Linked DNA regions of Saccharomyces cerevisiae S288C. The protein of the gene in region 1 binds, or shares a complex with, the protein of each later gene. Each region holds a gene or a part of one and is shown on either strand. Other genes may lie near its edges. A codon is read from its position in the direction of its gene.

The links. The genes of interacting proteins can lie anywhere in the genome.
Region 2: the proteins of RPN1 (region 1) and RPT2 are in contact, whole or in part, in a cryo-EM structure (PDB 6FVW), measured with the Saccharomyces cerevisiae proteins. Residues at the interface, in NP_011892.1 of Saccharomyces cerevisiae: Lys57 (codon at 3,314), Asp142 (codon at 3,059), Ser144 (codon at 3,053), Asp145 (codon at 3,050), Phe146 (codon at 3,047), Trp149 (codon at 3,038), Leu205 (codon at 2,870), Asp206 (codon at 2,867), Ile207 (codon at 2,864), Pro209 (codon at 2,858), Tyr210 (codon at 2,855), Gln247 (codon at 2,744), Tyr248 (codon at 2,741), Met249 (codon at 2,738), Val250 (codon at 2,735), Ala251 (codon at 2,732), Cys252 (codon at 2,729), Pro254 (codon at 2,723), Leu255 (codon at 2,720), Asn364 (codon at 2,393), Ser365 (codon at 2,390), Asp613 (codon at 1,646), Leu616 (codon at 1,637), Leu620 (codon at 1,625), Leu624 (codon at 1,613), Lys627 (codon at 1,604), Lys720 (codon at 1,325), Asp723 (codon at 1,316), Glu724 (codon at 1,313), Glu725 (codon at 1,310); in NP_010277.1 of Saccharomyces cerevisiae: Thr53 (codon at 1,867), Arg54 (codon at 1,864), Cys55 (codon at 1,861), Leu57 (codon at 1,855), Lys58 (codon at 1,852), Leu59 (codon at 1,849), Leu60 (codon at 1,846), Arg61 (codon at 1,843), Met62 (codon at 1,840), Glu63 (codon at 1,837), Arg64 (codon at 1,834), Ile65 (codon at 1,831), Lys66 (codon at 1,828), Asp67 (codon at 1,825), His68 (codon at 1,822), Leu69 (codon at 1,819), Leu70 (codon at 1,816), Leu71 (codon at 1,813), Glu72 (codon at 1,810), Glu73 (codon at 1,807), Glu74 (codon at 1,804), Val76 (codon at 1,798), Ser77 (codon at 1,795), Glu80 (codon at 1,786), Ile81 (codon at 1,783), Leu82 (codon at 1,780), Pro84 (codon at 1,774), Phe85 (codon at 1,771), Ser180 (codon at 1,486), Tyr181 (codon at 1,483).

Annotation. Positions count from the first base shown.
Region 1 is NC_001140.6:161,230-166,377, forward strand, and holds RPN1 (proteasome regulatory particle base subunit RPN1), read right to left. Parts: upstream 3,483-5,148; coding exon 501-3,482; downstream 1-500. Other genes in the region: VMA16 (H(+)-transporting V0 sector ATPase subunit c''), read left to right, coding at 1-256; DAP2 (dipeptidyl aminopeptidase), read right to left, coding at 3,749-5,148.
Region 2 is NC_001136.10:436,429-440,069, reverse strand, and holds RPT2 (proteasome regulatory particle base subunit RPT2), read right to left. Parts: upstream 2,024-3,641; coding exon 710-2,023; downstream 1-709. Other genes in the region: type 2C protein phosphatase PTC1, read right to left, coding at 1-161; YDL007C-A (uncharacterized protein), read left to right, coding at 3,246-3,503. UniProt on the Saccharomyces cerevisiae protein: The 26S proteasome is involved in the ATP-dependent degradation of ubiquitinated proteins. The regulatory (or ATPase) complex confers ATP dependency and substrate specificity to the 26S complex. Has ATPase activity.

The DNA of each region.
Region 1 (5,148 bases):
TGCTGAGAACATGTACTCGAAATCAAACCTGTACACTGGTTATTCTCTTTTCTGGGCAGGTATCACTGTCGGTGCTTCCAATTTGATTTGTGGTATCGCTGTCGGTATCACCGGTGCGACTGCTGCCATTTCCGATGCTGCTGATTCCGCATTGTTTGTTAAAATTTTGGTCATTGAAATTTTCGGGTCCATTTTAGGTTTATTAGGTTTGATTGTTGGTTTATTGATGGCCGGTAAAGCTTCTGAATTTCAGTAAGCGCTCAAACCAGGCTTTTCTTTTCCGTTTTTACGAGCTAGATAAGCGCATCCATATTTACTAATAGATATAATGAGATATCTGAGATACATGTGTATGTATATATGCACGTTTTCTTTTATTATCTAAAAATCATATTATATTAAGTAAGAGAAAAAAATGTACAACTATATAAATATATATTTATTTAAAATGGTTTTGAATTTTTCCTATTCTGGTTGATATTGCCCAAAAGCTATTCAGTTTACTCCTCTTCACGATAGTCAGGGTTCTTCTTTAAAATTACTACGCCCTCAATATGGCTTGTGTAACTAATATATTCATCAGTTTCTAGTTCTGCTCTTTCGCCATGATTTAGTAAAACAGGAGTGGATTGCGTAATCCAGCCAGTAATCTTTTTTGGTCTGCCTGCTTGGCCGACAGTTTCCACTGCTTGACCAACGCGCACATTAACCTTTATTGGCTCTCCCTCATCGTTTAATGCTAGAATAAACTTTGGCCTTATACCGGCATTCAACATGTAGAACAATTGATGATGCTTCAACATGAAACTTGGCGATACTAAACCAACTGCGGTAGTTAATATTGATGCTAATGTCACCTTATTCAAAACATGTGCATCATTGAACACATCCATTGTCATAGTACCTTTACCAAGATGCAATAACCCTTGTGCTAATCTGGTGATAAACAAAGCGTCTTGTTCACGTGAATAATAACTTGCCAACTGTCTTAATAGTTGAGCTAACCTTGCATTGTTAGTACCAGCACCACATAGACCCATAGCGAAAATTGAATTCATTGAAACTTCTAAATCGGCGTCATGTGAAAAACGAGTTAAGGTATCGAACACCTTCATTTGTGGATCAGAAACGGAAACAATACCCATCGCTAAAGGAACCATACGACGGATGTGTTCATTACCATAATGCATTAAATGACCAAAATGACGTAAAGACATTTCCTTGCCAATATCTTCACCAAGGGCAATCAAAGCAATACCCAAAACTGCATAAGCAAGTTCATCGACTATGCCTGCTTCTTTTTCTTCCTCCTCATCATCATTTTTCCCGTCCGTAGTAGCATCCTTATCGGAAGATTTTCCCTTCTTTTCTTCGGATTTTATCTCTTCACCTTCTAAACTCTCACCATTCTTCTTCTCTGTTATTTCTGCTTTAACTTCAACTTCCTCTCCTTCGGCATCAACCTCCATTTCGTCCACTTCGATCTCAGCTTCCTCGTTCTTGGTAGGTTCATTCACTTGCTCACCCAAAAAGTCACTTATGCTATTAGTCTGTCCTTCGGCAGTTTCTTCTTCATCTGCATCTTCTTCACCTTTTACGTTTTTAGGGGTCAAACGATGTAACAAATCTTGAATTAACAAAACATCACCCGTACCAGTATAAGCACATGAACCAACTAATACTTCAATAGCTGATGTCATTGGATGTTCAATAGCACTAATAGTTTCTAAAACATCATCCACCTGTTCACCTTGGCCCATGTATAGAATACCTAAAGCAAGTGCCAAAAACCTTACCCAGTCGGTCTTCAACTCGATGGCTGTACGCTCTAAAAAGTTGTCCATGATAGAAGTTGTAATGTCACCATTACAAGTACCAACGAAAACATGAGCCAAAGCTAAGGAAGCCATAGCTGCAGTTTCAATAGGCAAGTCAGTGGATGCGGCAATTGGTAATAACAAACCCAACACTTCGTCATTCTTGCTACCAGCAAATGCAATACCCAGGCCAAGAATAGCTGCTGAACTAATTTTAGTGTCTGGGTTAGTAACATAATCTTGCAAAAGTAACAAAGCTGGTTCAACTTCACCATCATGCACACCGGAAGCGGAAATACCAATACCTAATAATGCACCAGCTTTAACTTCTGGCTCATCAACGTAGAGATACTTATCCAGTTGTTGCAAACCATCGAGATTCCACTGGTATATAGATCCAATACTAGCTACCGCGGAAGTCATACCGTCACCTTTGGTTTTATATACCCAATTATCATTATCCACAATTAATTTATCGTTACAATAACCTAAGTTTAAGAACCCGTTGACAAATGACGAAGCTAGATTTTGTTGAGCAGAATCTAGGCCGGCGCTTGAGAACACAGATTTAGAGTTATCCAAATGGCTCTTATAAATGTCTTCTGGGACTTTTGGCCCAGTTAGATTCAATTCTTTAGCAAGATATAAAAAGTGTTCAGACAATTTACCATTTCCAATTATATCCTGAACACCTTCATACTCAAACGATGTCTTTTGTGCGGCTAAAATATATGCTAATTGTTTATGCATCACTGGATCGCTAGTAGCATCGAAAACGGATCTGATCATATCCTCTTCCCCTAGTCTAACTGCCAAAGCAATTGCATCTGTAAGTTCGTTCTGAGATAGATAAATAGAATATGCGGTTTTTAAAAAGGCAACGTCTTCAGGAGGTGGCAAAAGTGGAACACATGCAACCATATATTGACAAACTCTTTGGAAGGTATTCTCATCGACAAATTGAGGTAGCTTGTCAATAGATTCAATTTCCAAAAGCAAATCTACCGCGTCTTCTTCACCGTTGTGTTTCAAAAAGTATGGGACAATGTCTAAACATAGACGAAGAGTATCTTCCTTGGAAAATTCGAACCCGGAAGTAGCCGCAGATCCATCGCTTTTAGATCCATCAGATGATGTTTCATCTTCAGCATCTTTTTCCACTTGATCATTATATACTTCACCGATCTCCAAAGCTAAATGACGGATGTACTCATGTCCCCACCCTTCAAAATCAGAAACGTCGGAGAGTAATCTATATCTCAATGAATCGTGTTTACCATTTTCAGAGTATGTCATGGCTAAAATGGACAAGACATCCGCTAAAGAGGATTTCAAGTTTGGATCTGTCCATTTGTCGTAGATAGAACATAGGTCTGGATATGTCGGACGAAGGAATTTCAAAGGTTTGGGAACGGCGGTCATAGAACTCGTAGAATTTTTGATCGATTCCTTTAAGGCATTCAAAGACGCTTCATATAAAGATGAATCGTCTTCTTTCAGCCTTTCAACCAATAGCTCTAAATCTGTTTTAAGCTTTGCATCTTCTTCGGATAGCTGCTCCTCTTCCTCCTTTTTTTTATCCTTCTTATTTGGTGTCTGCTTTTCAGGACTTATCTGCGATTGTTCATCAATAGTCTGTTGTTTCTTATCACTTTCGTCTACCATTTTCTTGCAATTGTCTTCCAAATTTATACGAATCGCACCTTATGTAGACCAATGGGCAAGTTTGTTAGTGAAGAATTATAGATTTGACCAAATTTGCTTAATTACTTATACCCTTTGCCAAATTTCGTGCTCGCCTTTTGCCACCGTAAAACACATCATCTTCTACGAACATTAATCTGTTATATTACCAATTTTATATATACATAGTATGTAAATATGAAAATGTTTTATGAATGTCTCTATGAGATGAGCTGTAAATAGTCAACTCATTTGACAAATTGCCCATCGAAAGCACGCTTTGCCCAATCCAATAGCTTGTCAAAAACGATTACATTCGCATTATGGTATCTTATACTATGATCTGAGTCAGGAAAGACGTGGACGTCATAATTTTCCACACCATTTAGATCCAAAAGGTCCAGAAACTTTAGGGAATTTTGAAAGTGAACGTTATCATCTCCTGTTCCGTGCATCAACAAAAATCTATTTGCTTGTGCCAAAGCAGTGACATTATGAACGCTTGATTCTACGTATCCATCAAAGTTTTCTTGAGGAGTATGCATGTACCTCTCAGTATAAACAGAATCGTAAAATCTCCAGTCGGTTACTGGCGCAACTGACATCCCGTATTTGAAATGTCTTCCGCCATCTTTCTCCAAAGTTTTTAGTGTCAGGTACCCCCCGTATGACCAACCAAATAAGGAAATCTTTTGCGGATCAACAAAAGTTAAAGAACCATATAAGGAAGCCGCAGATATTTGGTCGCGGGCCTCGTAATCACCGAGCCTATCGCGAACAAGGGATCTAAAGTCTTGACCTTTGAAGCCAGTACCACGACCGTCAACAACAACTACAATTGCGTTTAATTGTGAAGCTACCACTTCATTAAATCCTACGGAAAACGTTTTGACAACTTGTTGAGAATTCGGTCCCCCATATGCAAAGAAAAATACAGGATAGTGGTCACTTAACGTTTCATCGAAATCATTTGGTAGGATTTCATACGAGTTCACTAGTATATCCTTTCCAAATTCGTCCTTTCCTAGGTTCAATTCCCTGAATGATTTTCTGGGTACCGCATAATCTTCTAAAATTTTGGTAAGTACTTCGTTCTTTTCCAAATGGTATAGTGATTTGCCTAAAACATTACCTTTGTCGCATTTTTCTGCTTTACGAGAATGGAAGTCCACAATTTTTTGATATGGAACTTTTGGTCCTTTATAGGTGAGTAAACCAAACCTTCTACCAGAAGAAAAGGACACATCATAGACACCATCCTCAGAAGTATCAGTAACTTCAATAATTTCATTTGGTGACCGTAAATCTATGTAGTAAACGTGGCGTTCGGTTGAACTCTTTCGTGTAGAAATGAAGTAAAGACGATTTTCCATTGAATCAAAGGCAAGTGGGCCATTCACCACTTCCCATTTCCCCTCTGTCAATGTTTTATAGTGTGAACTATTACTATTTTCGAAATAAGCCAAATGATTGTAACCACCAATCGGAAGAATATCAACATAACCATTATGAGGCCTATCAAATGTTTCATTTGCCGGAATAAACAGAGTATTATGAGTAATCTCCCACCATCCTCCGTTAGAACTTTCGTTCCTTACCACGTTTGAAGTCTTTGCAATTGTATCTATCAAAAACACAGTCAATATGT
Region 2 (3,641 bases), on another chromosome or scaffold:
AAATATCCCCAATCTAATCTTGAAGCAAAGTTTTTAACATACGTATGAACATCTTCCATTGTCCTCCGAAATTTCGAGTTTTTATTTTCCGCCACACCTACTCTATAAGTTATGTCATATGGTGTTTCTGGCCTTTCTAAGATTTCAGAATGATTACTCATTATAATGATTTTTAAAAGATAAATGCAGTGCCTAAATGATATATGAAGTAAGAATGTGCAAAATCTCGTATACTCGGTATAGAATGGAATTTAACTCACCTCCTAATTGATAATACTGCCTATTTATTTTCTTTTCAACGACAACAAAAATAAGCGTTCACTTACTTAAACTATCAAAACTTGTTGTGTTTGGGGTCTGTTAATGTAAAGGAATCCGGATAAAAATTTTGAGACAACTTTGAGAGCTGTTTAAGACGAAAAAAAGTGACCTCAAACACACGAATAATAATGTTTAACTAAGCTTTCAATTTGCAAAGGTATACTTTGTCTTTTGAGTTTTAGTTTCCTATAAAATTAGGACAACAAACCCTCTCAGATGTGTTCACCAGTTTTCCTTTGCAGTTAGAATTCGCGAAGGCCCCGACGCCCTACCTATATTAAGTTTTTGAAACAAATATTGCACGTGATACAAAATGTACACATATTAAGCTTTGTTGAAGCATTACTTATATACGTAAATCTATTATAGAAAAATGTAAATGGGCACATCACAAGTATAAACCTTCTAAATTTTCCTCAACTTTATTTTTCATGACTCTCTCCTTGGCTTGTTTAAAATCCTCCGCTGTAACTTGCATTCTTCTCTCTCTAAGGGCTAACAAACCTGCTTCTGTACACATTGCCTGGATATCGGCGCCTGACAAATCATCCTTTGTTGTTACTAAAGTTTCAAGATTAACGTCCTCACTTAAATTCATCTTGGAAGTGTGAATCCCTAAAATTTTTTTCTTAGTACTTAGATCAGGGTTTTCAAATAAGATTTTACGATCAATTCTCCCAGGCCTGATTAATGCTGGGTCAAGAGTCTCGATTTTGTTAGTGGCCATAATCACCTTCACATCCCCTCTGTCGTCGAACCCGTCCAGCTGGTTCAGCAATTCCAGCATGGTTCTCTGAATTTCTCTCTCACCACCACTATTGGAGTCATATCTTTTAGTACCAATGGCGTCTATTTCATCAATAAATACAATACTTGGTGCATTCTCACCCGCTACTTTGAAAATTTGCCTACACAACCTAGGACCATCCCCCAAATATTTTTGAATTAACTCTGAGCCAACAATCCTTAAGAATGTGGCAGATGTTTGATTTGCAACAGCCTTTGCTAGCAATGTCTTACCTGTACCGGGTGCACCATAAAGAATCACACCCTTGGGAGGTTTGATACCCATCTCTTCATACAGTTCGGGGTGTGTTAACGGTAACTCTACAGACTCTTTTATTTCTTGAATTTGAGATTCTAAGCCACCAATATCACTGTATGATTCTGTTGGCGACTTATCCATTTTCATGACCGAAACCATTGGATCGGCGTCATCCTGTAAAACACCTACGATGGACATGGTTTTATGATGCAATAACACAGAACATCCAGGCTCTAGTAACTCTTTATCGACAAAGGATAAGATAGATACATAATAATCAGGCATAGTTGGACTTGTCACTATCGCATGATCATCGTCTATAATTTCTTCAAGGGTCCCAATGCTCAATGGATTTCCACGTATTTCTTCCAATTGTTTCTTTTCCTCCTCCTGCTTCTTTTCAAAGGGTTTTAAAATTTCAGAGTTAGAGACAAATTCTTCTTCTAATAACAAATGGTCTTTAATTCGTTCCATCCTTAGAAGCTTTAACTTACAACGAGTACTTGGATATATGTTGGGTAATTTTTCAGCAGTAGCTGGACCTCCCTTTCTTTTCTTACGACCAAATTTAGATTGAACGGGAGGTTCATATTTGGGTTTCTGATTAGATCCCTTCTTCTTCTTTTTGTCTTGTCCAGATGATACACCTTGTCCCATTTTATTTTCTATTAAAAACGCTGTCTCTTCTTTAACTTGAATTGACTGTAAGCTTGACACTGATACGCATCATATTCACTAATATTCACATTAACCTTCTTTTAGGTAAAAGAAAAGAGACATTTGCCACCGGAGAAAAACCGTTAATAACTCGTTACCCGGAGTGATAAAAATATTGGGAATATAAAAATGACGACAACTGCAGGACTCGAACCTGCGCGGGCAAAGCCCAAAAGATTTCTAATCTTTCGCCTTAACCACTCGGCCAAGTTGCCTTACTAATGATGAATTATTGACTTAAGATATATCCCAAACCTAGGAATATGTAAACCTGCTGGAATATTATTTGTTAGAATAAAAATCAACTATTCTCTCTCAACTAGTAGTCTTACTACGAGTATATTATAATGTACAATGTTAGATGATGACATAAGGTATGAGAAACTGTCATAGAAGTTAGAGGAAGCTGTATTCTGTATACATAATATTATTGCCTTTATTAACAATGGAATTCCAACAATTATCACTTGTTGATAGTTAGAGGTAAAAAATAGTATTAATGAAGAAATAAGTATTGATCTTCTTATACTAAATAAGAGAGGTATATAAAACACACGCCGATTGGTCATATTAATCATGACCAATATAATAGTGATTCCGGTAGTTACTATACATTGATGTGACGACTCATATTCCTCATATATGTACCTACCATATCATGTTCAATTAATAGATCTTTAGCACAGCTTCAGTATTGTCTGAGCTTCTCGTTTAACATTCCTTCTGCAATAGGTGCAATCACACTTAAACGTATACGAGGTGTACATTAATATACGGTGTAAGCATTAGATTGTTACCATAGCAACTCATGTCACTATTAATTACTCTCGTTCCAACATCACTAAATTCCCGTAATTACCACCGCAAAAGAAAAAAGAATACAAGAAATGGAAAACTAGCGCATAATTTTGTTTCTTTCTTTTTCAAAGTTGCAGCCGCTACTATTGATTCGTTTGAAAATAGCACTTGGCGGCTAAACTACCGGCATAGAAAGTGGATCGGGCAAAATTAAAAGGGAAAGAGCGACGGGGTTACGGGACCATTACATAAAAAAAGTATCACAAAATCTATTGTATGCAAAGATATAAACCATCACATTATTGAAATAATATCGTTCTTGATACTTCCATAATCCAAGAAAAATATTTCAAGCACTTTCTTGATGTTCCTTCCTATAATTTTTCACACCATCCTAACCCTCCTGAACTTTGGTAAATATTACTGTTTACCTATTCAAGAAGACGATGATAAATCAGGAAAAGAAATTGAACAAATTTTAGACAATAACATCGAGTCATTAGGACTACTACTAAATTCGATGTCCTTATCCTCGAACTTTACGACAGGCGATCCTGAACTAGATTCGCTCTTCCAAGATGATTTAATCCCCGAGTTATATAGTGTATTAGATGGCTTCTAACACCAAGTATGTGTATTCTAAGGGTATACAAAATAAATACTGCGATACTATTCAATTCTTCAACAGCAGCTTACTAGATGTAAAATTAGTTACTTCAATTTATACTGTCACTTTTGCATATTTTCAATAGAATAAAAT